Styela clava: one gene and its partners. The protein of the gene in region 1 interacts with the protein of each later gene in a pairwise test. Links are inferred from orthologs where the notes say so. Each region holds a gene or a part of one and is shown on either strand. Other genes may lie near its edges.

What was found.
Region 2: the proteins of ubiquitin-conjugating enzyme E2 A (region 1) and unconventional myosin-VIIa-like interact in a two-hybrid assay, tested with the Caenorhabditis elegans proteins (2 studies listed by BioGRID). The link is inferred for Styela clava from reciprocal best matches to the Caenorhabditis elegans genes ubc-1 and hum-6.
Region 3: the proteins of ubiquitin-conjugating enzyme E2 A (region 1) and calreticulin-like interact in a two-hybrid assay, tested with the Caenorhabditis elegans proteins (2 studies listed by BioGRID). The link is inferred for Styela clava from reciprocal best matches to the Caenorhabditis elegans genes ubc-1 and crt-1.

Annotation. Positions count from the first base shown.
Region 1 is NC_135259.1:10,180,056-10,190,887, reverse strand, and holds ubiquitin-conjugating enzyme E2 A, read right to left. Parts: upstream 4,989-10,832; 5' UTR 4,952-4,988; coding exon 4,481-4,951; 3' UTR 3,405-4,480; downstream 1-3,404. Other genes in the region: uncharacterized protein LOC120338084, read left to right, coding at 1-97. UniProt on the Caenorhabditis elegans protein: Catalyzes the covalent attachment of ubiquitin to other proteins.
Region 2 is NC_135258.1:2,553,965-2,566,029, reverse strand, and holds the start of unconventional myosin-VIIa-like, read left to right. Parts: upstream 1-7,075; 5' UTR 7,076-7,434; coding exon 7,435-7,491; intron 7,492-8,031; coding exon 8,032-8,148; intron 8,149-8,821; coding exon 8,822-8,971; intron 8,972-9,546; coding exon 9,547-9,564; intron 9,565-10,476; coding exon 10,477-10,661; intron 10,662-12,065. UniProt on the Caenorhabditis elegans protein: Myosins are actin-based motor molecules with ATPase activity. Unconventional myosins serve in intracellular movements. Their highly divergent tails are presumed to bind to membranous compartments, which would be moved relative to actin filaments.
Region 3 is NC_135260.1:6,838,811-6,850,053, reverse strand, and holds the start of calreticulin-like, read right to left. Parts: upstream 5,809-11,243; 5' UTR 5,734-5,808; coding exon 5,649-5,733; intron 4,897-5,648; coding exon 4,770-4,896; intron 4,273-4,769; coding exon 4,094-4,272; intron 3,632-4,093; coding exon 3,321-3,631; intron 2,841-3,320; coding exon 2,583-2,840; intron 2,016-2,582; coding exon 1,812-2,015; intron 865-1,811; coding exon 754-864; 3' UTR 1-753. Other genes in the region: uncharacterized protein LOC120347616, read right to left, coding at 9,928-10,150, 10,655-10,773. UniProt on the Caenorhabditis elegans protein: Molecular calcium-binding chaperone promoting folding, oligomeric assembly and quality control in the endoplasmic reticulum (ER) via the calreticulin/calnexin cycle.

The DNA of each region.
Region 1 (10,832 bases):
TTGTCACATACCAGGCTACATTACGGTACCTAAGAATGGCGTCATTTGTTGCGCAAGTTTTATTCTTGTTTTATTCATATCTAGTTCATTTTACTGAATAAAATTTACATTTTTTAAAGTTACTTTTTTGTCCACATGCAATGGGATTTTCAACATCGCCCCGATCTGGTAATCGAACGGTTGGCAGTATTTCACCATATCGTATGAGGAAGGCTGTCCAACCGGCGGGCCGCATGTGGCCCGCCGGACTGTTCTTTGCGGCCCGCCCTATTAAGTTTGAAAGCAGACTTTTAGATTTTCATCATGTTAGCTTAAGTATGTTTTGTGAAGTTGGTGTGATTATTCCTGCCATCTATCTACATCCAAATGCCGGTTCTTATTATTACGTATGTGTCAAGTCTTGCGCCCTGGTGGGCATTTATATTTTTTCCGTATTTCTCGCAGAACTGTGCGTTCTGTTCGACGAACGCTGGGCGCAATTATAGGAACGAATTTGGAGCCTAAATTTGCAAATTAATTTATTTTTTATTTATTTCTTTATTGTCGGCTTTGATAGTCTTCATCGCCAACGTAAAATGAAAAGTCGACAATATCTGTGGTAGTGGATCCAGGACTCGTTGTCCCATTATGTTTGTATTTTTGTTTATGATTTCTTCATCACTAATTAATTAATAACTCGCTAATTATATGACATAATTCATCCAAAATCAATAGGCTTCTGGTCCGAGATATGATGAATGCACATGCAAAATTTGGATCAGATTCAACCTTCAACGCCTTCGTGAGATATCGCGTGCATCTAACAGACATACATACAGACAGACAAATACCTATCAACATACTTACCGATTAAAATCGATAAGTAATAATTACTATGTGTTAAAAATACACAACAATTACAGACTTCTTGGCTTGCCTAACTTCTCTAAAATTCACTACCATTACCTTTGGACAACCACCAGGTCAAAAATACAGTTTACACAATGGAGAAGTGCAAATGAATTTATGTAGATTTGTAGCATAAAAAAGTCGTTCAATTGTAAATAGTAATTATGCATGTGGACTTTTCCCGGCCCCTGAGCGCTGAAAAATAAAGTCCCTAATGACGTTTGCGATTGCATTTTGTTCGAATCTCCGATTGTTTTGCCCTCATTTCTGTCAACAAATATTTTGTGCCGCGAAGACATGATAATTACTTTTTTGCGTTCTCGCATGGAACCATGACTCCTGTGTGAAAAACGAGTTAGTTTTTTTATTATTATATAATCATATCAGCGACGAGATGCTAAAGATAGAATAAAGAAGTGAATCCGCAACCAAAAATTTCTTGATGGAAAAAGCGGCATTATAAAATACTAAAACTAAAACGGAAAACACCAACGGGTTTTGTTATGGGATGGAACGCGACAGTTCAAAAACACTTTCTTGGACTTCGCAAATCTCGTATATTCCTTGTTCCCGCGGCACACCTGTAGTGTGGATCAAGCAACCATTTCAAATATTTATATCGATCATGGATTGAATTTTTTATCAACAGGAAAACCAACACATATCCGTTGAAAAAGTCGGCTATTAACGAGTGGTGTAATCTCAACAACTGATTCAGGAGCCGTATCGCGGGTGTTATGGGCGATGAATATGTATTTCTGATTTACTAATATACTTTATATGTAATTTCATTGTACTAAATTGAATATATATTTATACCAGATCTTTCTAACAACAATAACTAATTAGCATGAGCGCAATATATATCAAAACTAAATATTGTCGGGCAGTTGATCTCACATCCTTATGTGGTATTTTAGATATGTAATGACTTTATTTTGTCATGAGTCGTCTCAACCGCGAGCTACCTTGAAAAAGGGGTATTATACCGTGAAAAAGCAGGCATTTTTAACGAACCGAAGACCGTTTCAGAAGACGTCGCATGGAAACCCAAGTTTAACGTAGTCTATCAGTGAGATCTAATAGGGTCATCGGTAAAATTTGTCGATTTAAGAAAATATGAATGGAAAGGCTAAATCTCCCCGAGCCACGCTTTTCCTATTACATTAAAGTTGTAATACTCAAACATATGGAAATGCCATTTTTTCTCAGCAACGTTCCGAAGAATAATTCTCTTCTGTTGGGGTTTCACAGTAATTGGTATGCATTGAGTATAGATTGGCATCGATTTGCTTTATGTTAATGTGTATGTTCACAGCGCATTAGCAATTGAGTGCTAATACGCGATTATTCATGATAATACATTAGCAGTAGAAACGTGAGTGATATAGACAACAAGACGTCATTTTTCGGAATGCAGTAATCAAACTCATCCCTTTACGAGACACAAATCTCGCTAAATCTCCTACGCGTATAGACCTAATTTTTAACAAGTTATTTCGAATGATGTAGTTTGACTAAGACGGGGTTTATTTACGTTTTATAAATTAATTGACGTCACGCTTCTGATACGTACGCTCACGTGATGTATGACCAACATCGGCGTGAAACCAACTGCTTGAACATTAACCCAGAAAGGAAGTGACGTAGATTTTTAAATGGCACCAGGTGTTATTCGTTACTACAGTCATATGAAACTAAAATCTATTGCGTCCGCATAATAAAATTACGCTCAAATGCCTATTAACAAAAGGCGCAGCTTTAATTTTTACTGTGGGCATAAAAAGGCGATGTAAATATGAGTAAAATCGTACAACATTGCGCGATATATTTGAATTTTTGGTACTCCCGCAGTGTGTGTATCAGGTTAGGGTTGGGCTATAATTTTACTCCGATTTTCCTTATTTTAATTCTATTACAAGCTCGGGGACTGTCTGTGTTAGCCAAGTTTATGTACCCCCTACCCATGGGCTTCAGTGCCATCACACAACTTGATGTAAAGTAGGCGAACAAAATCAGTCACCTCCATATTGGTACGTACACACACATCTGGAGCGCCGAATTTTTAAATCAATCTAATTTAATCTCGCTTAGTCAAGAGTCAAGAAATACACATGTCAGTTAAACAAAAACCGATGACCAAGATCTGAATTTTTTATCCACTCCCAACTGATTGTACCGAATACCAAACCAATCTTTTTCTCGAATTCTCTCTATACAATAACAGCCTTTATATTTAGATATCAAAAATGGCTGATAAATCAGCTAACGAGTACAACGCTGGACCAAACTTTACTCCATGGTTGGCACACCTTGCAAATGTCAGCAACACACTTGTGATCTTACTGCTAATGGTGGCCAAGATACTTTGGGGGCCAAGATACTTTGGGGGACATTTTGAGTGCAAGAGGAATATTGAACTCCTGAATGTTGTAGGTTTGTAGGGTGTGACAGTCTATGTTTGTCTGCCTTCCCTCATTAAATCACCCACCTAAACAATTACTGGTATATAAATATAAGTTCATAATAGAATAATTTATTTCACAGAGCAAAGAAGTTTCCAATATACAAACTATTGTATGTTGCGAGTATCATTTGTGTTGATTTAATTTGGTTTTGCCTGTGGATATCTTTTTGATAAAACCTTGAACTAGATTTTTTTTGCTTGGGTGATGGATGGCTCAAACTTCACTGTGTAAAAGTGAGCTTTTCATCATATAAAACAAGCAAGCCCAATGAAACATTTGTTTCTGATAATAAATAATATTTACAATCATAATTTCCAATATGCTAGAAAACTTGCAGAATAGTACACTCCATATAATCACCAGCAAAATTGAGACAAAAATTGAATATTATTTTTAAACATTAATTGGGAGACAAGTCACTTGGGACTTGGGAGTCAAGTTTCATTTGAGATTTTGGTATTGAGAAGCTAATTGTAATTGTAACAATGACGTTCTTTTTATATCGTCCATGCCAATATCTTGAGTGTTTAAGTGTTTATTACATATTTGCTATTCACACAGTTTAGCTTAGGCTTCAACAAAGTGCTGAGAGGTAAAGAAAAAACTAGAAGTATACAACTCATGGAAAAACCAGGAAACTATCATTGTTTTTAAATTCGTTATGATTAAGACAAATGAGCTTTTAGCGTTGTTTCAAATAGTCTGGCTCTCATGGATTCCAATATATTGAAAGACCAATATTAATCTTAAGAATCTAAATCTATGGACAGAAAACAATGTTTTGTGCAATTTATATCAACATTTTCATCAAGTAGATACATATCATGATTTTGTTTCACAATGGCTTACTGTGGAAATTATACAGAAAAATTTTATTGGTAATTATACAACCACTTTTCTATGGTGAAATATTTCTGAAGCATGCGTAGATATGACCACACCATTATGGCAGGCGCAAGCATGGGTGGTTCACTTATACCTTTACTGTACATTTTAGAAAGATAATTTTAAGCGGTTACCAAAGTTAGTTATAGTATTGTCTGCTACAATAAAGAAAAAATCTTGACAACGGTATCAATAAAACATAATGTAAAAAGCACACAAAATAAAATCGGCCAAATGGATCAACATCTACAATTACATTCTTTCCAACTTTCCTCAACGATGCAACAAACTTTTTTCTCATACTCTCGACGATTTTCTTGATACAATTGTGCAGCTTGATTATTCGCCGGGCTGTTCGGATTTGGTTCGTCCAAAAGTGATTGTATTGACGTTAAAATCGATGAAACATCGTATGTGGGACTCCATCGGTTTTGTAAAATGTCTAAGCATATTCCGCCATCAGCATAAACATTTGGGTGAAACATTTTTGAAGCAAATTTAACAGAAGGAGGCTTATTCGGATACTCCTCTGTAAATTCTATAGTCAATCGAAACGTTCCATCTTCAAAAGGTGTATCAACTGGACCAAATATTAAAGCATTCCATATCATTATATTGTTGTCAGTTGGTGCCCCACTTACTCCAGTAGGAGGATCTTCTTGCAATTTTTTAAAATCACGCATTAATCTTCTTCTAGCTGGTGTAGACATATTACTTTTTTAATTTGGTTCGCCAATTTCTTATATACTATTCAATCCCTATTTTAATCTAAATATCTGAAAAAACAACAATCTAAATATCTGAAAAAACAACAAAGACATTAATAGCAATGTGCGACATAAAAATAAGGTCACCAGTGATGTATACACAATTCGATAATAAAAGCCTACCCCATATTTTACCAGAATTTCGCTTGTAAAAGGATGTGTGGTAATAAATTATACCATTATCCTAATTTACAAATGCTCTACACCTCTACTTTGAAAAATGAAATACATACACATAATAATTCAGTTATAAATTTTAAACTTGTAATTTCAAGAATAATAGGAAATATTATTATTAGTACAGTTGAGTTATATATTTACATTTTAATGGGAACTTTATTCAAGCATATTTAGTCATGTATAAAGAAGAATCATTCCTTTTAGAAATATTTTATATTTCAAAATATATCCTTTCAGGCATTATAGGGTTGACAACAGATAATAGGCTCACACGTCACACCAATAAAGTTTCAAAATGGTTGAAATAGATACCAATTCCTACCCATTCAATTCAAATATTTTCAATAATATATTGATTTCCAAAATACTTTTCTAGTTAAATAGTAAAACATGAGTCATCAGTGAGTCAGCTCATTTTAGCCTTCAAGGGATTATACCGTGAGCGAACCAAAATGAAAGACATATGGAAAAATGAGTTTCAACTTCTACAAAGCGATGGATGGGAATCAAAGTGTACCATTTATTATCAGATATGCCTTTATAATATGCATAGCGCAATAAACAATGACAGTGCGCCATGAACTTAAGGATAATGTTGTCTGACATAATTGATCAATTCCAAAAAATCGATCCAATAACAATTCATAAAGAATATGTTTGACAATTTATGAAACAAAAATTAAGAAGTGCACAGTTTAATCATACAAACTCAAAATGTAAATCTTAAAATTCCCCCGAAGAGGAAAAAAAGAACAACATTTGAGATAATAGCAAAAATCACTAATGTATAATATAATGACCCATAGCATGTATAATTGACTCACTCTCAAATAAGGCTGAATCCTTCTTGTCGAGTGAGTGTCAAGAATGGCCATTGGTAAGTTTAGTTTAGTAAACAGAATACAAAGGTATTGCTATTATACAAAATAAAAGTTTGAATGATTAAAAATAATAAAAATGACTGAATTCACGAGTTGCGGACACTAACTAACGACGATGACTTGGCGATGCGGCGCATTGTGCTAAGCGTTAGGAATACGCTCACAATTACCCTGCTTGGGTTCGCAGGTTCGGATCCTGTGAGGAATAATCATGTTCGAGAGGATTGTTGGACTCCTCGCCGTCGTAGGGTGGTTCACATTACCGCTGGTCGGTTACGGCTTCCTCCATCATCAAGTCCATGCATCTGGAGCAAATAACTGGCTAACTTACCCAATACCTGACATGGACAAGTAACAGGATGAGAGGCTGTGGTTTGCAATACGATTAAACCGTTTTATCAATTTTCCTCTTCAACAGGATAAATATATAAATGCTATCCTAACAAATATATTTCAGTAATGATTTGTCAGACTTGCTCATACAGACACAATTGAACTATTTTTACCTTAGAATGCAAAACTAAGTCAATATTGAAGTCCCTAAGCTAGATATAGACAATATAAATGATAAAAATAAAAGTATAGACCATATACGATAAATGCTAAATAATGACATAGAAACTTATGCTTTGCCAAAAAATAATAAACCAAAAATTTTCAGTGAAACTTTTTGGAATACTATTGCAAAATGAAATGATAATATAGAATGTACTTGACAGAAATGTATGGGAATTTATGGCAGGAAGAAAGTAACCACACAAATATTCTGGGGATTAATTAATACAGCCTGAAATCATTTAGATAAGTAATAGATCAATAATATTATGACGATTCCACATTAAGCATATTTATTCATGACAGACTTTTATTCGTCTGATCTATCGATGCTTGGCTAACATAAATTTGAAATAAAAGAATAATGTTTCTACCTACAGAATTCTGTAATTAACTCAATACTGAACATGCTATTGTCATATAATTGCGTACGATTATTAATAAATTCAATATAAGAATATGGGCAGAAAAAGAACATCATATTATCTAATAATGAAGTAAAAATGATACACAAATATAGCGGCTATCATGATTTGCATTCTTTCCAACTTTCTTCAACAATTACAGAAACTTTTTTTGCATAATCGATGCGACTGTCTTTATATAAAAGAGCAGCCTGATAGTTAGCAGGACTACTTGGATTCGGTTCATCAAGAAGTGATTGTATTGATGTTAAAATGGAAGAAACATTGTATGTTGGACTCCACTTGTTTTCCAAAATGTCAATGCATATTCTACCATCAGAATAAACATTTGGATGAAACATTTTTGATATGAATTTAACAGATGGAGGTTTGTTTGGATAATCTTCAGTAAAATCCATACTCAATCTGAATATTCCATGTTCGAATGGGGTTTCAGCAGGACCAAAAATAACAACGTCCCATTTCATGAGATTATTTTCGATAGGAGCTCCACTGATTCCTTCAGGAGGGTCATCAAGCATTCTTTTAAAATCCCTCATCAGTCGTTTTCTTGCTAATGATGTCATTATATTTGAACTATTATTATTAAATGATATGCCAACTGAAATCTAAAATGCAAATAATTCATAGAATGAATAAGCAAATTGTATTCCATAGGGTCTATATCAGTCGTTTTCAACTATTTTTGTGGAGTTTACCGCCAATGAAACATTTCAAGGCTCAAGGTATTCCTGTGTAACGGGTTTTTATTTTAACGTACGTTTCATCACAAATCTATCCATAATTGTAAGGCTGTGAGAAGAATTGCATAAACTATTAATATATGTATATATATTAACATAGAATCTCAAATTTGAACCTGTGGAATCCCTGGACCGTTTTGGCAGAACCCTAGGGGCTGCCGAATCTCGGTTGACAACCTCTGGTCTATAAATTACCGTGCCCCTTTTAAAAAATGTAATTTACAGTTTAAAATAAAATGAAAAGCAGGAGATTGCACAACATTATTATAGATATAATTAATTGTACAAGGGTTGAAGATTGAATTAATTGATCTGTCACAGAACTGGCTTGTTCGCTCCAGAAGTGTGTGTATTAATATGGAAGTAACTAATTTTGTTAATTACAGATTCACGTCCAAATCCGATAAAATAGCATTCTAGTCCTAAAACAAAAGACGTACAAATCAGCTCAATGCAAGTTTCTACATATTACCATTTAATCCCTTAAATTAAATGTAACGTCTCATTACCTATCCATCCGCATCCAACTACTAAGCCGAAAAAATTCAAATTTTAACAACCAACATTTTTTTTTACTTTTGCATCTAAAAACCAAATTGAACTGACCAAACCTAAAATAACAAATTAATCAAACATCTAAAATAACAACAATTAACAGCTAAATTAACCCAGAAATAAATTTAGTGATTTTTCTATGGCTTCTCTCACTATCTTTTGTACGATACTTTAACAAAAAATATCAACCATCATTGTGAAAACCTGTTAAAATTATAACCGAATACATATTGGATAGAAGTGACACAATCATCCTAGTGTTAAAGTCATTTTCACTTCATTAATAGACTCTCTAATTACTGTATTACCCTGGAGTTCAATTAATGATGATAGTGCCCTAAGCTATATTATATATTTATTACTTTCTACATAGTCTAAACGGCATGCCAAAATTTATTTCATCAAATATTCCCAAGTTTATGATGGCCTTAGCAAAACAGCAATAAGAGTGTGATAAAACAGTACGGTACAATTGTTCGATTCCAATTTCCAAGTAGTCTATTATAACAGTGGGGATAAAACTTTCCTCCATGATGCAATCTAGACGTTTGTATGGGTGAACCGGCACTGCATATTAAACTAAAAGGAAACGCAATGTAAAAACGAGCCCTTTGGATTCTACAGTATCATTCAAGAGTTATAGCAGGCCGCCACACGTCATGATTGATTTGAATCATGACCAAAACAAGCATGGCACAATGTGGCGCATCTGCCGTTGTGCCAGACACATTCATTTCAGAGATAAATTGAGTATTTGGTTTTATTGAACCAAATGTCAGGACATCTTGGAATTTGAGAACTGTGCCCTACTGTATAATGGGACTTCAGATTTTGTTATTTCTATAGGCCTACTACTGAATTTTCTCTTTACACTCGGCTCATAGAAGTTATCTTTTGTTGAACATTAAGTGTCAATAACAAATTCTTAGTGAATCTGTGACTTAGAAACAGAGCAGAATAACAATGTAACAATGAATAAATAAAATATTGAACATAACAATATCAGTGTAAAATCTGATGTGGAAGGGATACTGTCAATAATATAGTACTGTAGTATAATTCAGTAATTAAAAGCACAAATCAGAACTCAAAAGACCTCCTCGCGAACTGAAACTCCAAAGATCGTTAAATGATATATTTCATATTATTTATATTATTGCTTCATTGCCAGTATATCTCTATTTACTTAATTTTTCACAACTTCTTACAGTCTTACAGGAAAATCCTGGACTTGACTATGCTTTTATACCGAAATTTCTTAGTTTTTGAGCAAATTTTGTAGAGATTTTGTGGAAAAGTAGTTAGATTGGAGTGGTATCTAGATGTTTAAATACATAGACTTTCAGACCAGACGTTTTGGCCCAGCCAAACTCAGAAACTCGAGTGCTGAAGTACTTTTGTCAACGAAGCATTATGCGATATTGCAATAGACAGATAGAAGAGAATCAATAGAATATTGGAATAGTCTTATCGTGTTTGCGTTGGAATTTTTAGGTTCAGCTCCACTTTCGTTAATTATAATAATTATACAGTAATAATGAATGAAGGATTGATTTATATTTATTCACAGAAAATACACTTAAATCCATAGAGTTTTGTTTTTATCGCACCACGTAAAACACTGATCTGTTTTCCTATTTTCTATATTCATCAACAGCTATGGCAGTACGGTACCGGTATATCAATGAATGATATAGGCTATTTTAATCATTAAAACCCTGGAATTGTGAAATAAAACAAAGTACCGATAGTGTACGGTACCAGGGTAGCGAAGCGGAAAGCAGAAATACGGTGAGGGTAACCTAGCAAAATTCTAAATTAGCCTATCCCTAAATAAACCCAATAATACATGTAACATGATATATGGTAACGTACGGTACCGGTACCGCCTATGAAACACAAACCTATATGATTTGTAACTAGGTGAATGAATACACGGTGTTAAAGCTGTAGCTTATACACGGATACCCTACTTACAGACTTACCGGTACCGACCCGAATCTTCCAGTCACTTCCCGAAACTAGAAACAATTTGGGAAAGTGAGAAGAATTAATGACTCTATGTAAAAGTCGTGGTCACGTGACATAAGTGGTAACAAAGAATGGCCACTGTGTGGTGTTGTGAGTAAAAGTTGGCATTCTAAAAAATCGCAGACCTCATTCAATAAAAACCCATCCTACGCGCAAAAGAAAAGTGATGTAAACAAAACAATTTTAACATTAGCTCTTATCAGGGAATGTGATCACCAGAGCAGAAATTTGCATTTTTTGTAATTTTCTAGATATCTTTCATTGTAGACGTGGGCAGTTTTGAGGATAGAATATTTTTTACATCTTTTTTGATATTTTTATCATGATAAACATGGTCAAGATTTTTGATAATCGTTCATTAAAATTTTAATGAGCGCGGTGTTTCCGATGACGTCATTCTCGCTGTATCATGAGATTCTGCCAACGCGCCGTGCTCTGTGGGATATGCGCTGCA
Region 2 (12,065 bases), on another chromosome or scaffold:
GAAAATTACCTTATAAGTCACTTATTACATATAAAGCCCTATTATATGTTAGTAATTTGCTTTCTACAAGACCAACTAGTTATCATTCTTTTTCTTTTGTTCTGGTGGTATTACCCTTTTAAATAGGAATTTATGTGAGTCCTTAGGGGGTAGCTAATGATAGCATGAGCAAGAAAGTGAGGTGGTTAAATACAATTATATCTTATATAAGAAGTTATGGTAAAGGAGTGGCGCTCCAGAAAAGTGTACCAATATGGAGGCAACTAATTTTATTCGCCTACTTTACATCAAGTTGTGTAAAGGTACTGAAACCTATGCGCAGGGGGTATATTCACTTGACAAACACAGACAGTTTCCGAACTCGTAAATGAACTAAAATGAGGAAAATTAAAATAAAATTATGCCCTAACTCTATCCTGGTACATACACTACACTTCCGAAAGAGGAGTGTGCTTACCTGATATCTAAACAAGGCTTTGGGCAAGCAGATTAATTCATAAGTAATTTCTATATTTTGGAGGTATCAGACTTTAACTAATACGTAATATAATTGTGGGTGAATTAAATGACCCCTCAGGCCCCATATTAGTCACTTCTTCCATCGTAAGTACTAAAGATTTTGGGTCGGTTGATTCAATAGTTGCAGAAAGAATGATTCTTCCACGACAACAATTTATCAAAATGTCCCACACATCCACTCCAGGTCCAAACAGTCAAACCGTTTTTATCAATCTGACAATAACTAATTAGCCTCAGGCAATTTCCCACCCAGCTGGTTGTTATCTTCGTTAGTTAACAATGTTTACGCAATACATTAATTATAAATGATTGTGACGCAACAGTTGGTTACCCTATGACAGCATAGAGGTTTGGTTTCATGAATTATGACTGTACAATAGGTATGTTATCTGCTTTGTTTGCAAATAGGAAACAATGAATAATTGAAATGGGAGATTTTCGTGGTCAGGCAAGACTTAGAATTGGAATGAAATATGTCATTTAGACGTTTGAGTCATACAGATAGAAAGAATGAACTAATTTGAACCAACTTGAACTCGCTTTGACCAGTTTAAACCAATTAATTATAGTTTTTCCTATTTATCAAGGAAGCTGATAGTAACTTATGGCATCTTGTGAGATCCTGATTTCCATCCATACAATTAGATTATGTATTCGTGGATGCTTGTAGAGAACCCTTTATTCTGATACATCGTGCCAATTCTTTTTAGAAGTTTTTTCATAAAATAACGTTTATGATGTTTTCACAGTTATCTTATCCTAACAACCATTACTCTAGCTAAGGCACTTTGAAATTGTGGAAAGGAATATCATTGTTTATAAGGTATTTTGAACAATTAATTATCAACTCTAAATCTGACTTTTATGCTATGTGTATGTGCTTTTATTGTGTTGTCTTGTGTTATAAATCTAACTCATGCTTTATGTGCTTTTATTTATTATGTGTTGTTTGTGTTCATCAAACTAATTTTCATGTGGTTCTCTGGAGTATGTGTTCAACTGCTCCAGTTTATGTGTCATTTTATGTTGCCCTGTTTGAGCTCCATACTTTACCTATTTGTTTTTTAATCATTTCAAGCCAACTTTATAATGCAATTTTAACATTAACAGAAAAACTTGGAAGAAACAAAAACTCTGAACAGAGCAAAGAGTCAAGATGGCGTTGATTCGGGAGGTGAGTCTTTGAATATTTGATTTTGTGGTGAAAATATACAAAATTCAATTTTGACATTCCAAGAGCTGCGAAGCTATAGAACAGCAGTTCCCAAACTGGGGCCCATGGAAGTTTTTAAGGAGGCCACAATGATAAGTGCAAAGCTGATTTTATTTTTCATTTTACAAAAAGCCCTCCATCGGTATTTTTACAACATTTGTTCGAGGACGTGGGTGCATGCTTTAACTGTATTTGCAAAAAAAGTGAAATATACTATCTTAAGGTTGTACACCATTATATAGGATATGTTGTATTATTTTCTGGTCTACTCTTAAGCTTTACTGGAAATAGGGAGGTAACGAAAATCAAATTTTATCAGTGTATCAGCTAAAGTATACTAATTGACATTTCCTGTCCGAACTACTGTATTATTAATGCTGTAATTGTCACGATTATATACTAAATCCTGTTTTCCCTTTTAAATATTCAACCACAAACATGCAATGAATAAGGTGAACAATATGGCTCAGCCAACAGCAATGGAGAGAAATAAAAATATAGGCCTCCACTAATGCAAAAATGTGAAATTTGAGAAAAACACCTTTAAAATAACAAATTAATAATTATTCAGTTAGGGTTTGGGCTGTCAATTATTTAAAAGTTCGAATTTCCTGCGCAATCTGCATTCCTAGCCCTAACCCTAACAGGATAATTACTAATTTTATTATTTTGAGCTTTGGGGGGAAGGGTGTTTTTTGGACTGTACGTCCATGAGATTTATGTACTACAGCACCAAGGGTTTTAGGATTAATCTTCTGTTTTCCATATCATCCTATTTAGTCATTGTGTGATAAACTTGACTAGTCCATTTTAAACATTATTTACCCTTATTTTGGTTTTTAGTTAATTATTCTGTGTCTAAAACTAATATTTCAAAAAAGTTAAACATATGGTTATCTAATGCAAACCAGTGTGAAAGAGATTTGAGATTTGAATCAGAAAACTGGTTTTATTTTGAAGTTAAGGAAGTGTGCAATATCCGTCTGGTGGTGCTAGAGAGTTAGTCAGTTTGTTCAAAATATGTTGAAAAATACTGAAATGTTATGAATGGTAATTTTATCAATTTTCTAAACATAAATCTTGGTACACATACTTTGGGAGCGCCAAAATTAAATTATTAGCACAAATTTAGGAAGCATGGAAAATATCTGGCATCTCCTTACAGCAGTTGTTGGCAAACAACGGTCCATAAATAAATTTTTGGGGCCTTTTAACGACCTCCTTTCATTGCATAACATGAAAAGTGCTCATAATGTTATTATCTATGTTGGGATATATGTCATAACAATGGTTGTTGTGTCCCTTTTGTTTTTGTAGTGATTACCCTACCCAAAAGCACATGCCCGTTGTATACTTACGTTACCGGAAATGCGTTTGATTGGCCCAGTAGTAGATAAACTTCGTCAACTACTGTCTTACAGGTTGTCCGTGTAGTATTTTCATATCTCTTGTATAAGCCTCATCCTCGTCCTATGTTTTTGCCTTGTGTGTTATCTTTTCTGCTATTGGGATATTTTTGACTTTACAGTAGAATCAGTGTTCCCATATGAGTTATTATTTTAATGGACACATAATCTTCTTATTATCTTATTATTTGAGTCAACCCAAGACGTTTTCAGAGATGCGGGGCAAATGTATTTCTAATTAGAGCTGAGATCTGAAGCATGAACTCGACCCGAAATTTTGGTCGGGTCGAGCCTGAAATGCTAATCATTACATTCAGGTCAAGTCGGGTCGGGTCGGGCTTCTCTATCGCTGACTTTTTTTTCGGCCTTGTTTTGGCCACGAGAGACCGTGGTTTGCAAAAAAACAGATTGCCTCATCGACACGACACATACTTTACCTAACTCTTGCAATGACAATACAATGAACCCCTGAATAAAATATGAAATTTCGGGTTTTCTTGTGGCTTGGGCCTGCAAATTCAATTAATTAATCGGGCTCGGTCGAGTCGGGTTTAATACCTACGGGCCTGGGTCGGCCCGGGCTGGTATTTTTGGGCCCGATGTTACCTCTATTCCTAATGCATAGAACGGTGTGTCACACCGCCGCTCTAGGAAAAAAATGGTATTTGGGTACACACTATTTTAATCTACCTTATAACCTAATATAATAGGCACCTTTCATTATAAAGGCCCAAAATCCTTTCAAAAGTGAATTATGTTAAGTTTTCATTGTATTATGAATATGTCCATAACCTATTATTATGTCACATAAAGAGGCTATGTCAGCCTTTGTTACATCATAATATGTTCATTCAAACGTGATATGATTCAATTTATCCTTATTTCAAATCTGGCCCGCATTATTAAATAGTCTAATTAGCATTCATTTTCGAGATGTTGATGTTATACCCTGCTCATCTTTGGGCCGGATTTAATTCATATATTTTATGTTAGGCCCATGCTTTATGGAATGAAATAAATTTTCAGATTATTCAGTATAAATTGAAATGTTTTCTGAAGGCTTTCCTATTTATATATCGAATGATGAATAATCATTATAGACTTCTGAAGATGACTTTTAGACAGGATATGAAGTTGTGGCAAGATATTTTGTTTGGTATGGTAAAATTGAACTGAAACATTTTCCTAAGACTTCTCTATTGTGAGATCAATTTTGGTTTTACTAAGTATAAATTGAAGCGTTTTTCAAACTTTTCTATTTACATATAGTATGATATTCAATATTGAGACATCAAGTAGAGATGTGCCAAGATGGGAAAAAATTTTCGAGTTAAATCGCTCAAAGCAAGGTGATTCAGATAGAAGTAGAGGAGTCTCATCTCTGAATAGGTGAATAACTATTGAAAGTATTTAGAACCAGGTGTATTGTGTTCAAGAGCTAATCCAGGGGTAGGGGTGGGGTTTGAATTCTATGTATTCTCTCGAAATTGTGAGATTAATGTTGTGCATCAGTTTTAAAAATTGTGTTTCGAATCAAAAGTCTAATAAAGTACAATACATATAGTACTTTGCATGGAATTGCTGTACTGTTTGAGATCTCTATAATTTGTTGCACGCCCTTCTACGTGGTCACGACCCTCAGTTTGGGAAGCCCTTCTCTAGCTAATAGGTCATTGAACAAATTATTTGAATTGTCTGTTCACAAATGCTTTTATAGTTTTATAAGCAATTACTATTTAGTCTTTGAGAATGGACTCATTTTCCACCTTTTTATATATCAGCTGATAATAATACTTCGCATACCTGATGAATTATTTATTCCCAATTAGAGAAGTACTTCCTAATTTTAACTTGGCCGTACACAAAATACTGCTATTACATGCTACTTAAGCATGGCCCATCTTTAAATTATGTTCATAAATGTTCATTTATGACTTGAAGGCGGCCACTGTTTATCAAATATTCACATTAAATGGCTGATGTTGTAAGTTATGATAGACTATCTTATGCTTATATGAAGGAAGAACGTTTAGATCTGAAAATAGTTTCTATGTTGCTTTGGCTCTGGATATCGTATAGAAAAATTCAAATTCAAATTAAGCCGAGTTTCTGAGCTTCGTTGCCATCGAAGTTTAAGATCATAAAATAGCTAGATAGGGCAGAGCCTTGTTCAGAACGAAAGACACAAAAAGGCTTACATAATCAAAAAAATATATTCTATACATGGCGCCAACGCTCGATATGATCTGTCAATTGTAAAACTAAGTTTCCAAGCTACGTTGGCCTAGTAGTTAAAGAACTTAAGATAGCTAGATAGTGAAGTGGGATTCAATAGTACTTGAGCCTACTTGAACTACATATTGTGTTTTTAAAAGTTTTGTTAATTGGAAGGCGTTGCCTGTTTGAGGGGCTGTTTTAGAATTCAGAATGAAGTCGAATTTTCGTTATCTGTAAAAATGTAGAAATATTGTCAGAATTCGACAATGTCAAGAAGAAAGATGATAGGAAGGATTAATCATATGGCTTATTACTGGATTAAAGCTGTTATTTTTATTTTTATAGTGTCTATCTGAGGGACATGATTTTTCATATTTGTGCATGGTGATGGTTACCAGTCCATGATGGTTGTGGAATTAGTAAATCAGCTTTTTATGTTTCGATTTCATTATTTTTATCTTGTAGAGGGGAAGGCTGAGAAATTGGCAACATGCCAACGAAGCATAATTCTTCTTTGAGGCAATTTCAAATCTTCACTCTGAAAAAGGCTATGTACACACAGCCACAGCATTGAGCGACTTTTTTATCCCTATTTCTGCAATTTCCACCTACTTAACACCTGGGATAAGCTGGTGGGCATCTGTTAATAATAATATTATGTTATATTATATTAAATATTATAAGATATCTTTTAATTCATTCACAAATCCAATCCCTGCTTGTTAAATCTATTTCAAACCCTATTTCCCACATGTATCTAAAATTACATATAGCAATGTAAACACACAATATTCCGAAATGTAATGGTGTGATCACATATGGAATGCCTAAACAAATATTTACTCTGGTCATTTCTTGTTTGCTGGTCGTGCTAGGGGTGAGTTAGTTAGAAAGAAATCAGTCAGCTTGTATGTTAGTGATATATCACCTAATTTTTATCTGGAAAATAGAAAGTGGTCAGTAGCAGACAGGACTGGCGGGTCCTTATGTAAAATAGATTGTGTGGTACCCAGTATGAGTAGAGATAGGAGAATCTAAAAGAATTGAATTTGTCAATATTTCAATATTTTCAACTGAATATTAAAATTATGATCAAGGCAACTTCACCTCATAATTCTGGCATATAATAAAGTAATGAAGTATATCACTTTTATTATACATGGATATACTGGTTAAAAATAATTACTTGTACATAGAATAAGAATGCGCCCCATGATAGTTTGAGGTCCACTGCGATTGTATTTACATAGGACATTCAGTTTTCGCCATCCCTGATTACTACTAAAGTGTTCTTTACCTAAATTAAAATTCATTCATTCAATACACATTAGGTTTCTAGAAGCATTCTTCGCTGAAGTAGCCAAGTTTGAATAGATTCCATATTGCATATCAAAAATTCATATTTCAGAATGTGTTCAATATACCATATTATTCATGAAAACAGATTCATTGAATATAACAGGGTGTCCATAAAGTCCCTTCACAATTCCAATTTTGTTAGGAAATCAGCTCTCAATATATCTCAACCAGGTTTGTTGTTTTTTAATCAGTAATTGTTTAAGTATTTTTTTTCATTTGATACATCTGTGAAGGCCAAAACTAAATATGGTATCGATGAATTCCCTTTGCAATTTTAAAAAATTTCAAGACTTAATGGACATTCAATTCATACATTCAAAAATATTATTTTATGAAGTAGTTGGGAAGCAGAAATTATTGAGTTTTGCTGATTTCCGATGATAAGCAATCATACGACTATAGCACTTATAGGTAACAAAAGCAAATAAAATTAGATTAAATATTTGAACAACACTCACAATACATGGGAATGCTTAACTTCTGTTGGAATTGTGTGCTTGAATGGGTGCGGACTGTTACATTCTTGATTTATGGGTTCTGGGTATTGTGTGTTGGGGATATAAAATAACAGTATATTATGGGTTTGTGAGGTTATGGGTTATTATGGGTACTATTTACAGTATGAGTTGAAAAAAATGAAATCGTAAACTGCAAACTATTGACTTATCTATCATATATTGATAACAACTGCTAGCTATTCACTGTAATCTAGGCCTTAGCATGTCAAATTTTTTTGGTCGACATTTTCTGGCAAAAGGTTCCACAACTGTTCAAAAGGTAGGTTACTAGCACATGTTGAATTTTTTGTAGTACTGGGATTTTTTTGCCTTCCGAACACAGATCTCAAAAGCAGCTGTTGATAGTATGGAATGGGATATTTTAAACTTTGTGTTCATCGGTGTGCACTTCGGACTATTTAGGATTTGTTCAAGTAAATTTGTACTGTGTGCTGTGAATGAACAAAATAAGTCATATGAAATGAAAAAATAAGGCGGACAAGATCAAGTAGGATAGGAGGATAGGATTTACATATTTATCCCCGGGGAGAGGAAAGCCGATAAGATGGCTTATCCATATGGCGAACCACGACCTCTCGTACGGTTACCATCCCTGCATGGGATTCGAACCTGCGAACCCACGCAGAGTAATTAGTGGTGCAGTGGCGAGCGTATTCCTAATGTTTAGCCCGTTGAGCCACACCGCCGCCCCCAAATCTAACAAATATTGTTATTTTTAATAAGCACCCCTATTTGTGGGCATACATTATGAGATCTACCATCTTTTTTACCACACTCATAACCATTTTCTTGTTTCTAGGGCGACCATGTCTGGTTATTGGATGCAGACCCTCAGTCTCAGTGCTCGGTACCGTTGGGTGCGATGGTCAAATCATCACAAGGTGGACAAATAAAAGTACTGGACGATGAGAAAAAGGTTAGTAAGATGGGTAACATTAAATTACGGTAATATTTATTTTCAGGGCAGAAAATAAGTAAAATAGAATAAGTAGGGTAACATAAATATTTACCTGGGAGAGATAAAGCCAATAAGATGTTCTAAGGTTCCCTCTGAGGTGCGCAACTGCTCCATTGCGCAGTACCACCAAACCATTTGTGCAGTGAAATCTCAATCTCGTGCGCTCGCAACATTACATTTTCGAAGCGTAGCTCTTCATGGCCGTTCTATGTTTCACATGTATTTTGGTTGCCATTATCCACTACATGTCTGTTGGGAGGAGTCCCCTTCAAGCTTACCCCCATTTAAGCTAATTGATTACAAATTTTGCTCCTGTTGGGAAGATGGACCTAAAAGTTACAGTAGTATGTATAATCTATAACATCTAAGGAAGCTTCTGGGATTCAGATATTTCCAAGAGGGGGGACTTTAGAATTTAAAAAAGGTCTCTCTCAAGAACCGTCTTTGACAAAATGTGGTGAACTTTCTTCTAGCCAATCGGTTACTAATTTTATGTGCTTCTGTCATGCCACCAGGGTCTAATACATAACTAAATCCAAACTAGGGCCTTGCACAGAAGTTATTCGAGTGTGGATCTGTGAATTCTTATTTTTTCTAATCAAAAACTGAAAACATTTGATTAATTTTTCAGGAAAGATGGTTGAAGTTTGCTTCAGCAAAGATCAAAGTGATGCATCCAACATCTGTAGAAGGAGTTGAGGACATGATCAGACTTGGCGATCTTAATGAAGCAGGAATCCTCAGAAATTTACTCATCAGATATTATGAAAATAAAATTTATGTGAGTGATGAAAGTTGGATTCTAAAATCAAGAAATTATTTTTATTTAAATTTGTTTATATGTGTTGCAAGGTTGGGATCCCCAGTTCAAAGAGCCATGATTTGGCTGAATTCCAAAAAATGAATCCCCAAAATAGCAAATACCCCGAGTACACACTTCATCAATAATGATCTTACGCTTATATGAAGACTCTTAACCTCTAATTTTATTGAAATTTTGGGCTCCCGTAGTATGTGCACCAATATGGTGGACACTGGAACGTAGTATGTGTACCAGGCCATAATTTATTTCAATTTTTTTTATTTTAGTTTTAATACGTGCTAGGGGACTAGCCAAGTGACTCCTGTAGTATTTGTACCCGAAGTTATGGCTTAACCCCAACCTGGTACACACACTACTTTCCTGTGTCCGCCTTCTTGGTGCACATACTACAGGAGTACCGAATTTTTTTTTTGACAGTTCGTCAAATGTCCCTCTTGCAAAATATGGTCCCATTAAAATCCTGAATATTATTTTAAACATTAAACCTTTTATACCTAATAATTCTTTTTGTTTGTTACTTTTGCGGGACACAGACATATGCAAGTGGAAAGGTAACTTTAAAATAAATGTGTGTTGTCTGGTGTAAGGTTTAATTTCAATTATACTGTAAAATATTAAGGATGTGATATTGAATCGGGGAAAATTCACTGCCGTCTTTGACTTCAAATTTCGAGATATTTAAAGACAACTACAGCTGTGCTTAACAAAAATAACTTTCAACTCAAGATAAATAGGAATTTTGGTATCAATTCCAGACTTGAAAAACAAATTTTATTTTTTTGTCTGTTGGTAATGTTTATAATTTTTGAGTTTATCACCATTCAAAGTCTGATATTCTGACTCCGGTTCTTGATTTCAGAAAATTCAAAAAGTTGGCTCTGACGCAGAAAAGTTTTAATATGTATACCACTCTAAAAATATCATTAAAAACATACTATAGGGGGACTCCATATTTTGATTCTACAGCGCAGATAAAACACATAAGATTGAAATTTAACTTTTAAAGCAGACGCAGACGCATGAGTTAAAAACATCTAGTTTAATTTGTATGAGAATGCTTTTGAAATTGGGTATTATTAGTTGGGCGAAGAACATTCTAGTTTCAGTTAGTTAGCTTATTGAATATGGTTATCATTTGACTAAATTCAGTATGAAAATGCTTTTAATTAAGAATATACGTTTCTATTGGGCACTCCTGTAGTATGTGAACCAAGATGGCACACAACCTGAACATAGTATGTGTACCTGGTTAGGGTTAGACCATAGTTTCAAGTACAAATACTGCTGGAATCACTGGCTAGTTCCCGAACTCGTTAATAGAACTAAAGTAAGGAAAATTGGAATAAAATTATGGCCTAACCCTAACCTGGTACACATACTATGTTCAGGTTGTGTGCCATCTTGGTGCACATACTACGGGAGCACCTTATATTATTTATACATGTTGACATTCTGTGTTACAGACCTACACTGGTTCAATCCTTGTGGCTGTCAATCCCTATCAAATCCTTCCCTTGTATGAGGTGGATCACATACGCATGTATACGAACAGAAAAATTGGAGAATTGCCGCCACATATATTTGCGATTGCAGACAATGCTTACTTCAACATGAAGAGGACACAGAAAGACCAATGTGTAATTGTCAGGTAAGGCATATGGGTTATGATGCGCTTTTTAAATCTTCGTTCTGATTAGAGATTTGGACAAGCGGACAGTCATATTTACCACTAGGTGGAGTAATGGGCTATCTTGTTTTTCTAAATTTGTAAAATACAATATTAAAATAATTAGGTCTATTACCGTGACCCAGGGGTTCTCAAACCATGGGTGGTTGTGACACCAGATTTTTCAGATGTAATCCTGACATATACCTCCTTCTCAGTGAGATTTTGATAAAATATCCAAATCTGAATGCCCAATCTAGCAATCAGTGTAGTTTTTCATGGCTTGGTTTTTCTTGAAGCTTTCATGGCTTCATGAGTATGACTATCGTCGCAAATTTATTACATTCCACTCCCCACATTATCTTTGCATGAGGTTGTAGGTATTGGTCATGATCAACGTGATTGTTAAAGGTACAACAGCCCGAAAGTTTAATACTATCGTATATTTTGTTTGTTTAGGTTTGGCCCAAGCCTCATTTAATTGGGCTTGTGTTTTTGTGTGCGTGATGGTGGGCAGGCATATGAGATAGTTCTCATGTTTTAAACTTTTTTTATAGGTTTTGCTTGCCCTCCAGAATTCTCCATTTTTAATTTATGTTTGTTATGGAGTTTTCGAAATAAACTATCTATCTATCTATCTAATATGTTTCTAATTATGTGTGAACACCCAGCAAGCTGTTTAAGTAATTAATGTTCCCGAAGGATCATCACAACAAATAAAATGCATACGATTACATATCTTCCAAGATTTGACTCGATTTGAAAAAATATTCGATTCGATTCCAAAATCATCAAGTAGGATAGGGTTTACATATTTATCCTATCACTTGGCGAACCACGGCCTCTCGTCCGGTTACCATTCTATGTGTGGTATAGGATGTGTAAGCCAGTTATTTTTTATTTTTTTGAAAGCTTGATGTTTGAGAATACCCATCCCCTACCTATCACCTATTTATTGGAGATAATGTAAGTGCATACCATCTGTCTGGCAGTCTTCCCGTATCTTAAAATAGAAAACAAATTCTTTCGCTTATAAATGATTTGGACTGTAATTTAGTAAATGATTCACTAATTCATAGTATTTAGGGGAACTGTGTTTTATAACTGCCAGGCTTAAAAATATGATAAAACAAGGATAAAATTATATTTATCTTTGGACCAACTTTGATTGTTAGAATTGTTTTTTAAGAATGTGGGCAGGGGTTGAATGACGCAGATAGACTTTGTTCAAGTAGGACCGTGCTAAGTTCCGATACTTTTGACAGTTTCTATTTGTTTTGTGATCATGCCATGAATTCTATGATAAGGTGATATTTAACACTTATTTGGGCGTGTGTTGGATTCACCACAGTTTTGAGAGATTGAAAGAATACATTTTTATTTTTT
Region 3 (11,243 bases), on another chromosome or scaffold:
AGATATTTAGAACTACATTGGAAGTGACAAAAAAGCCTTCACGCCACTGAAGAAATGGAATTTCAAAATAATGCCCTTAAAAAAATGAATTACAGGTAATATACTATAACAAACACACAAATTGCTTCACTAGCTGGTTTTCCGGCCATGCATACTGCATTATTTTTCTTAAAGAGACAAAAGCTTCCAGCAAAAAAAATGTAAAACTGACAAGCAGGTGTAAAAAACAAGATTTTAATGGAACCAACCAAAAATGCATGATGCTTCATTATGGCAAACTAAGACCATCCTATCTGAGAATACAAATTTATAAAGAAATCACTATGGCATTTGAACTTTTCCATAGTCAGATCAATATCGCTTCGGGAATATTAAAAAAATTTGCAGCTATCAGTAATTTAATGTAAAGAGCAATGATTCTATTAAGGCCATCTCAAACTAGGTCTCCCAACATCTTTTTGAAATTCATAATCGGAAAATCAAAATTTCTCAATTTAGTATTCTCAATTGAGTACAATTTATGAACTAATATGATTTAGCAGAATTATAGAAAATTTTTATTACCAAAATGCAAAGGAGATATTCTCATTCGGCCATCGTTTCAAACTCTGCCCCAGAATAGATTTTAATTACTGCAGAATGCTGTCAAATTTGTTGCACTTTTTTGACAGCTTATTGGCTAAGGGGCGAACATTAGGAATTGTCAAATATAAATAAAACTTTTCATTGATTTGATGAACAGTGGCGAAGAAATTACAATTCATCTTTTTCTTGTTTCGCTTCATCTTGTTCTTCTTCATCTTCCGTTTGATCTAATTCATCTTCCGGTTCGTCTAAATCTTCTGGTTCATCCAAACCTTCGTCCTGTGAAAGTGAGTCAAAGTTAGACAACATTGTACAGACTTTTAATTTAGGTTATTTCTACCAAATATGATACTGCCTTATAATTTGATAAACACTACAAAGAAAACTTTTATTTAAGAAATACAATACTATGCACAACTGACCATCTTAAACATTAGACATAAATTTAGAGTTTTTAAAAAATCCTTTTCCCATAACTGAACTAATATAATATAATAGAGATACAATAAAGTTAGGGCAGTTAAGTATGAGTGTCCCCAACACCAGGAGTTGAATATTCTAATACACTTTTGTTATACAATACGATTTTTCTTCAGTAATTCATATACTGTTGCACCACCAATCAACAATACACAAAAAATTATACTTAAAATGGAATAAATCATAATCTCGCTGCAAAAATTCATTTACTTCTTAATTCTAAAATAAATGTATCAATCATTTCCCAAGCCATTCCTTAATCTATATCAAATCATTACCGGTAAGTATCCCATATGTAACAATTTTTTGGCTTTACTATTTTTTAAACACGGGACATTAAACCATTATGATTAACTAAACTAAAACCCTATTTTGATGTTTTAGCTAAAAATTAGACCAAGAATTTTTTTTAGATTGCGAGGAAATTTAGTTTCGGCACAAGGCTCATTGTTTTCCACTTTTGCTTTTGTAACACTGTATATAAATACTGTTCATAAAATGTTTTTTTAGATCACGTTTACATGGCCCACCAGTCCAAGTGGACAGAATTTTTGGCCCCTGATCCAAAATCTTTGCCCAACCCTGATATAGCACATGACCACATATTCAATGATAAGAATATTTGAACATTGATAAAATGAATTAGATATCCAATTTAACCTGGCAGTTAGGCAGCCAAGACAGTCAGCCTTCAGACAAATCTGAAGCTATACTTCACTATCACAAAAAAAAATGTTTTTACTCACACTCTCGTCATCAGCTACATCCTCCTCATCCTCATCATCATCCTCACTCTCGGCTTCTGCCGTTTTTCTATCTTCCTCCTCCTTGGCTTCTTTCATTTTCTTTTCACCAACAACAGTCTCCTTCATGATTTTATCGCATTCATCTTTTGCAGTTTGAATGTCATCAGTGATAAGGAAATTATCGAAAATAGTTCCGGATTTGACCTAAAAGTGAAAATAAATAAAACATCTACTTATCGAGCATATCTCACATAACCAAATGAAGAAAGCAATACAACATAGAAAAATGCAGCAATCAGATATCTTACTTAAATTGGCACTGGTTAAAACTAGGCAGTAGTAAAACTGTTTGCAGAAGTTAGGATGTATTTACAAATCACAAGCACCCATAAATTTTTACTGTCAAAAAATACTCCACAAGAATAAATCACATACAACACACGCACTTTTATCTTGCAAAAAGACATTCATGATGAGTCAACTAAAACAGTTTATTAACAGGAAATAATAAAAAAAGCGTCATTTTGGCAAATTAGTTCAAAATGCCCGATCTTAATAACCATATGCGCTTTCGCATTTCAGATTGCATTGTACGAACTTTAATTAAATCCTTATTAAGTGTATAAGTGGCACTAAGTGCCCTGCGATAGTTCGGACAATTCGCATATATGAAGTAGGTGAAGGCCACACAGGAATGCTACCGGTGTCCCGGTCAAGCCGACTTTACTTGATTTACAAAATTAATCCAAGTCTGATATTAATTAAACAAACCTGCCATAAATCAAGACCAATAGCACCGATATCTTCATACAAGTATAACTTATCATCTGCAACGTAAGCGGGGTTGGCAATCATAGGGTGGACCCACTTTCCTTTGTAGTCTGGGTTATCGATCATTGGGGCTTCCCATTCACCCTTATAATCGGGGTTATCGATCATTGGAGCTTCCCATTCGCCGTCCATATCTTCATCCCAATCGTCAGGTTTTGTGGCATCAGGATCAACAATGTGTTCGGGCTTGTCCCAATCCTTCAGATAAAAATGCAAGTTAATACTAAACAGCAGAAAAGAGTAATAAATATACATCTCTTTTGAATTATGCTATGTAAGACATTTATAGTAAATAAAAATACAAACATTGTTACTTAAAAATGAGAATTTAGACCACTGATTAAAATGTTCGATAGTCTTCAATGGTTGAAAGCAGGTCAATTTCAGATTTTAGCAATGCAATATTTTTGCAATTATTAAAATGCATCTTTTAACAGAAGTTTTAAAAGATATTGCATCAGGCCCCGCAAGGAAAATAAAAGGATAGCTCAAATATGACTTGAGATACTAATAATTTATTAATTTTTTTTTAATGAAGGTTGAGAAAGGTAACAGGTGACAAACCAGTGCTCCCAATGTGCACCAAGATGACGCACAACCTGAACATAGTATGTGTGCCAGGTTCTGATTCAGGTTGTGCGCCATTTTGGTGCACATACTTCCGGAGCGCCAACAAACCTCTGGTTTTGTTGCATCTGGGTCAGGGATCTTCTCACGTTCGTCCCATTCTTCCTGTGAGGGTTTAGATTGATCAGGATCTTTAATTTCTTTTGCTTCCAAGAAATCCCATTCTGTTTCAAGGCTTCCGGATTGTGCTTTTGCATTGTCAATTAAAACTTCATACGTATTGTCTGGTTTCACAATTAAGGTGTAAACGTGTGTAGTTTCATCATCCTTACATCTGATATCTTTCTTAATTAGTAAATTCTTTCCCTTGTAATGAAAGATGACATGCACTTTCTTAGTACCTGGCCCACAAATATCAGGACCTGAAATGAAAGATTATTTTGGTAAGAACAAAACGTAGACACACGTTTCAGTTGCTACATCATTGCCACTTAGCAAAAATATGGATTACGTAACACGACAAACACTTAAGATGTTCATCACCAAACCGGGTATGTGAATGATACTGATGAATATTACCAGCAAGAAATGTCCAATAATATTTTGTTGTATTGTACAATGAAGTTCGTTAAAACATACTTATTAATGATGATTTAATTTTAGAAAGGAAAGATCAAAAACAAGAATTTTTTTTAACCTAGCTTATCACTAACTTTATTCAAAGCAATAACTAACAATTGATATATTTTGTACTGCCATATCAAGTATTTAACAATAGTTAGCTCTCAAAATATCTGGGCCGGGCTAGGCTTCATTCAACAAGAACAACAGTAAGTTGACAATATTCACATCACCCTGCATTCAATGGTCAAGTCATATCTTACCAAACATAATGTTATATTGTGAATCTCCATGCATATCTTCAGACTGTAATGCAGATGGGAAAAGTTTGATATATCCTCCTCCGCAATCAATATTTTGTTCATGCTTGACAGAGAATTGAATGACGAGATCTTTATCCTCATTGGAAAATTTGTCAAATTTAGAAGAAATTGCATAGAATCTAAAATAAAAAAATTTGATACGTCACTACAATACAAACGAGACTCAAAATAAATAACAGACAGAGAGCATATAAGATCGAATACGAGCAAAATCTTCCTGGGTGGGTATACTATTCACAATTTGCAACTACACAATCTTTAAACCACAACACTAATAAATTTGGTTCAACATGCTGAATACTACTGTGGCCTATTAAATTGTCAATCGAAAATTAGGGTCTAGTATAGTTTCATAACTCAATTGCTTCTAGTGGGCGTAGCCAAATAATTTTGTGACGTCGTAGTGACGTAATTTTTGGATGGCCTAGTCAAGTGAGGGTTAGGATTGACATACAGACATAGGGTCAAAATCCTCACGCTACGCCCGCTAGAAGTACTTGAGGTACAAAACTACGCAAGGTCAGAAAATTAGAACTCGATTATTTTTGGACTTAAATTTTCCTCAATTTGCAGATTTCTGAAAAAAATCTTCATGAAAAGATTATCATTAACGTACTTGGCATCTTCACTAGTTTTGAGTCCTTTATCCTGTTCTTCATCATTATAAAATTTTCCTGCTGTTAAAATCCATTTTCCATAATCAGATTTGTGTTTAGATTCTTTCCACCGAGCTTCCCAATCCGCTATAAATAATAAGAAAAATACTTAGGCTGTTGCATTGGGAGTCTTGAGGTTCCCATCAGTGAGTTTTTTATTATGGTATGAAGATTTATTATACGGTACTTTATATAAGAGGCGGACAACTCGACTACACAGACAACTCAACAGAGACAACTCGACTACAGAGAGTTCTGGTGAGTTGTCCGTCTCTTCGGGTTTTCTACGGCAACATTTCAAGATTATAGGAGTGTAACTTCGATCTTTTCAGGGTTACAATGTTGAGAAAAACACATTAATATTCTCTAAAAGGCATTTTTATGTCTGACGTTATAGAACTGTGTTCGTTTAAATTTTCGAATTATAATGATACAGGACAGAGTGGTCCAAGTATGCGAGGATGAAGGGCCGCAAAAATTTTTGAGGAGTACTTGCGGACCCAAAAGTGATCAAAGGTCGCGAGTTCACTCACTTCAAATATATTTAGGAATAAAGAGTTTATCGTTCTAATCAGTTTTTCAAGGAAACTATATAACAGCATAAAGCTTTTAGTTTTTAGTTTTATTACGTTTTAAATTGTTTCCCAAGAAATAAGGTGGTATTTTCGGTATCTTTTCTCGTGTTTGGTTTTGAAATGAAATTTATTCTTTTGTGACAAATGCTACTTGAAAACACACCCGACACTGTGGTTTAAGGTTGTTGTGGGAAATACGTTCAGACGTTTACTTCGGTCACCTTTTTCTAAACCAGTAAACTTAAATTTTATGAAAACACTCACCGTCTGTGAAATAGTCTTTGAAGTATACCTCCGCATTGACTTTGGCCAAGACTAATAGACATATAAATGTGACAAAGAATTTCATTTTTTATTGTCCTAATTACTACTTTATTGGAACCCTGGTTGATGTGAAAAAGATTATTAGAAGAAAAATAAGCCCATTTGAATAAACTCAAGTACACTGTCACATACTTCGCAAATCTAAACAAGCTTACACTTGTATATCAACTAAAATGCATGAATCTATAAGGCAATTCGGCTGAAAACTGAGCGTAAGCTTGCCGCAATACTCTGTAGCAATAGCAAGCGTGTACCCTGAATGAACGCACACGTAAAAGTTACGTCACTGAAAACAAGAGCTGGCTCGCTGTGATTGGTCACGCCACCGGTTGAAACTCCAATCATACAACGCCACAGACGTAATACGAGGTCTGAAACGAGGCGCGACGGAAGGGAAATACACGCAGCAGATTGTTGGCAGCAGGAGTTTCCCCCTATTTGTTTCGGGTATTTATTCGATAAAATAAACATTGCGGAGGAATATTAGGTTAACCGTGATCTGTGACTGGTATTACTTCCATCGCATAGGAAGTATTCGCGCACGTCGGCGGCTGGCGGGTATCACCAATCGCACAGACTGAAGCCTACATTTGTATCGGACTGAGCCACTGATAAAATCACTTAATATGGAAGAAAACAGGAACGGAAAGATGCACTTTGTGATCTCTTTATGCTGAATATGAGAACAGTTAATTGATCATAATAAATGCTTATTGTCATATCACACAACAAAGACGTCTTGCTTTTATATGTGGGTGCAAATTCAACTTCATTTGAATCTATATACGGTTGCTAAAACCAATGGGTTAGGGTTAGTATGGGTTCAAATGTACGGGAACCGAATCTATATCCATCCATAGTTTTGCTGATTTCTCAAACCGAAATTATCTGCTTTAAGATGTATAATACATAATCTAAAATTCGATTAATAAAAAGTACGCACACTATGTACAGAAAATTCTAAACTCTTTTTCGAAGTTCAGATTCTTCACAGATGTCACCTGTATCGGGGACACGATTCCAAGCATCCTTTGTTACCATACCCCGATGTAATGTACAAATTTTCCCCAATCTGTGTTGTCAGCGCCGTTGATTACGGTGCCAGCCTGGGTTATACTCCAACAAAATTGTACTGAAACATAGCCTAAAGAAATGGGGATGTACAAAAAGATAGAATATCAGCAGTATTCTACCGCTCAATATGTGATTTGAGTAGAAAAGTTCGTTCTGTCAAAACTGTAATCTCGCGCATATTTCTTGTTCTCGCAACTTGGTTGCTTACAGCTAATCAACCCCGAAATGCAAAATGGCCACTTACCTCATATCCAAACTTGGAACTTTTCTTTGAGGTGTTTGGCGCAATTCATTATGACAATGTGATTCAGGCGTGACATTATCATTAAAAATGTGAACGCATTTGTCACAATTACCACAAAGTTTGCACATTCTGATTTTGCTGATGTATGTCAGACAATCGAATCAATATAAGTTCGGCAGTTGAATGGGCTAATGCTGAAATGAAGTGCTTTGTGATCTAGAATAGATCATAGGTTCTCAAAGTGCTCCGTACGGAGCCCCAGGGCTCCGCGAGAGAAACCTAGGGGCTCCGCGAGATATTCGATCAAAATACGGACTTGGTTATTCTGTAACTGTTAATAAGCAAAAACACCAATAATAAAATTCGAGCGCACAATTATTGTATTGATTTCAGTAACTACGGTACAACACCCATTGATAACCTAACATAACATCAAAGTTTGTGATTCACAATGTCTAAAAAAGCGTTTTTAATCTGTCGCGAGTCCGCTAAAATAAAAATTATCATGTTTTCTTCCGTTTTAGTATTATATAATACCGCTTTCCAATCAAGAAATTTGGGTTGCTGATTCACCCCCTTATTAATTATTTTTAGCATCTCGTCGCCGATGATTATATTGTATTAACTTGTTTTCCATACTAAACTCACAATTACGCACAAAGACAAAAACGTAATTATCGCATTCGCGGAACAAGCAAGAAAAATGTGTGATTAGGGAGAATAAACACCACATATAGATGTTAGGGTCTAACTAAAAAACACGCATCGCTACGAAAACAATCGGTGATTACAGCAAAATGCTATCGCGCATGTTATGAGCGACTTCTTCATTCTTCCAAAATATCAAAAGAGTATTCATTAATATGTGTGTCAAATTTACAGGCCTAATATGTATAATTTATCCGTGCAATTTAGAATAAAAAGTTTTAGCATTTAAATTAGGTAAGGTATTTTTAACTTACTCAGGAATATTAATCACTAAATATCAACATGTATTTTTTGTCTGCTTTATTTTCAAAATTTATTTGTGGGGCTCCGTGAAGAATGGTCAACCTCTTCAAGGGCTCCGTAACATCAAAAGTTTGAGAACCCCTGATCTAGATCATTGCTCCGCAACCGGTGTGCCGCGGCGCACCGGTGTGCCGCGATATGATACCAGGTGTGCCGCACAGGAATTGCAACTCTTCTCTCTTTTTTACAATTTTTTTTATTCTTTGTTAATTTTAATTTAGTCTACTACTCTACTCTACTAACGTAAAGTTAACATGTTTCTACGTTAGCTTGAGCGACACCAAGTCAAATTTCTGTCACTGTGCATTTGTGACGTAGGATAGGATAGGATTTACATATTTATCCCGGGGGAGAGGAGACAAAGATGCTCCAAAACCAGTCTGCATTTGTGGGGAGCAACTTTCAAATGAAGCAATGGTTCCGAGTAAACTTATGCGCCACTTAAATACGAAATACGGTTTCGTGTCAAATTTGGCGAAAAAGCACTTAACTTTAATACAGCAAAGATAAGCACTGGTACTTTTTCGCAATTAACAATGAACGATACGACTGGATCCGGAATCCTTTCTCAACTAGTGCTGAAATGTTAACGAAAGAATTACTCCTGCGTATTCGAGAAAATTTCGTTGAAGTAAGAAATGACAGACGCTAAGACTGAAATTCAGCAAAATTCCACTTGATGTGTTTTGAATTTTAATAAAAGAAGAATACAGGCGCACGTTTCCAATGCAACTATTGAAATATTGCTCCAGTTTTGCACAACTTATATGTGCGAACAAAGTTTTTCCTCTTTATTACTGATCAATAACGATAAAAGATCCTGCATAAAAGATGTTGACGGCGAACTTCGAGTTGCTCTTTCACGTATTGATCCTAATATATAGCGATTGTGCTCATTAAAACAACCACAAATCTCTGATGGAAATATGAACATAATTGTTGTGGTGTGCCGTCGAATTTGGCAAGTTATATAAATGTGCCGCAAGTTAAAAAAAGGTTGCGTTGCGTGTGCAGGCCAATGTAAATCGTATTTTGTCTTTTACACATCGGGAAATTCGCTAATGTTTGATTGATATTTCTTCATAACTACCATGTGATATTGAAGATGTCAATATAAAAATTGGTAGCGAAAAAACACAAATTAGTTGAGCTAGTTTGGCTGATAAACAGGTCAGAATCCTGTTCTCATTTCTACACGCGGGGCTGAAGGAGAGCATGTCTCAGAGTTATCGGAGCCAATACCGCGAACACTATCCCTGTAAGCAAAAAATAATATCAACATCCATATTCCAACTTATTTTTTAAAACTCTGGATCAGATTAAAAATCCTAATATATCGGTCTACATTTAGCCGATACAGCCGTCTTTAGTAGATAGGCCTACTACCACGTAAGTAATATTTCTCAGCGTGATATAGTAATGGACTAATAATACGACGATGCTGCGATTTTATCCACCCACTTTTCATCATTCATATCGGAATTTTGACCCGATAAACTGCCGTATAAAATTGCTCTCTCATCGTTCTGCATACAGAAAAATGAAGTGTGATTTTATTTGTGTGTGAAATCTCAAATTTATTTCCAAATGTACGCAACATACATAGCACATGCGTATTGCAAAATGACAAAAATGATTCAATAGTCATATGATTGTAAAAGTTGAAACCAATGGAAACGTGATTTACAACATTGATTTAATTCGATTACACATATATATATATATACAGGCAACCCTACATCTAATTCGATATATGCTAACGCAGGCCTTGAAGATCACGCCGTTCTGCTGGGAGTCTGCTGTTTCAAACCTCGACGTCGGTTGTCGTAGAAATGCCGTTGATTTAGCAATTTTGTGAAGCGAAGTTAATCCTGCTGTGAATTCAGTTGTTCATACATCTTGAATTTCAGTTTGAGTTGACGCTGGCATTGCATTTACCACGATTATTGCCGATGATCTTTTGTCAAAGTGTTTGTCTTGTTTATGCAATGTACATTGAGCTGTGGCAGATATAGAATCACATCTATGGTGATCATCGAGATCAAACACTTCCACACTGCCGACATCAGTTACAGTTTCAACGTGAGATGGTGTGCACGAGCCTCTGTGAATTCTGTAAAAAAAAATAAGTACTGAATCAACTTGTTATATAAACTCAATTCATAAATTGCCCCAAAGTGTATTAATCCTAAGTACGAATGTAAACCGACCCATATATATGTATCTGTTACTGATAAAATGCTGTTCGTGGTAGCACCATCACGGTGATTACGTAGGATGGGGTTGCCAAGTCAAGTATAATTTTTCCAACCAGTAAATAAAAAAAAATAACCACAGAAAAGACGGAAAAAAAATTAAAATTACAGTTTTACTGGAGAAGGGAAGTCGCGGGGAACCAGAGCTGGTTATCGAGCAGTGACATCCAACGTTCAAATATCTAATTTAAAAAAGTGAAATCTTAGGGTTAGGAAACTACTGTTTTTGGACGGTGAGTACCGTGTGAATTTTCTCTACGCTACGTGTTGATTAACAATCGCACTTTCCGTAAGACTGGATGGTAAGCAAACTAAAGACCATGAACTATCATAGAATATAGAAATAATATTCCTAAACTTACCTGCTTTTATACCACGATCTACGCAAAGTATAATTTGGGAGTAATTGGGGTCTTTTGAACTGTGGCCTTTTTACAAAATTTTCGTAATAATTGGCGTATCGTCGGACTTCGTTGTCTCTCTGAAAAAATAATGTCAGATTTTTAAACTGTAATAAAGTTGAAGAAAATAAAGGTAAACGTCATGTGGAACGATTAAATTGTCAAACTGTCTTTTGTAAAACTATCGATCGATAACTTATTGGCAATATTTCTCTTTTATTATATTTTTGTGGTTACAGTTCCGGGCCGTCTGCGATGCCAGAATTGTATGAATTCTATTTTATAACGAGTTATCTAATAGTAAGCAGTTTATTCAACCGCGAATATAAATTTCGAAACTAAATGTTTTGAATAATCCTTCTCGCGCTGGATATTAGCTTCTCAGGGCAAAAACATGAAATATTTATTCGTGGCAGAATTAGTCTGTCTTTTGATTCTTTCTATCCGCAGCATAAATAGGTCTCATAAATATTTAAGAGATTCTTTTATAAGTTTGAAAAATAAAGTTGCTTAGAGAATAGAAACAGAAAAATCAAGAATATTTTACTAT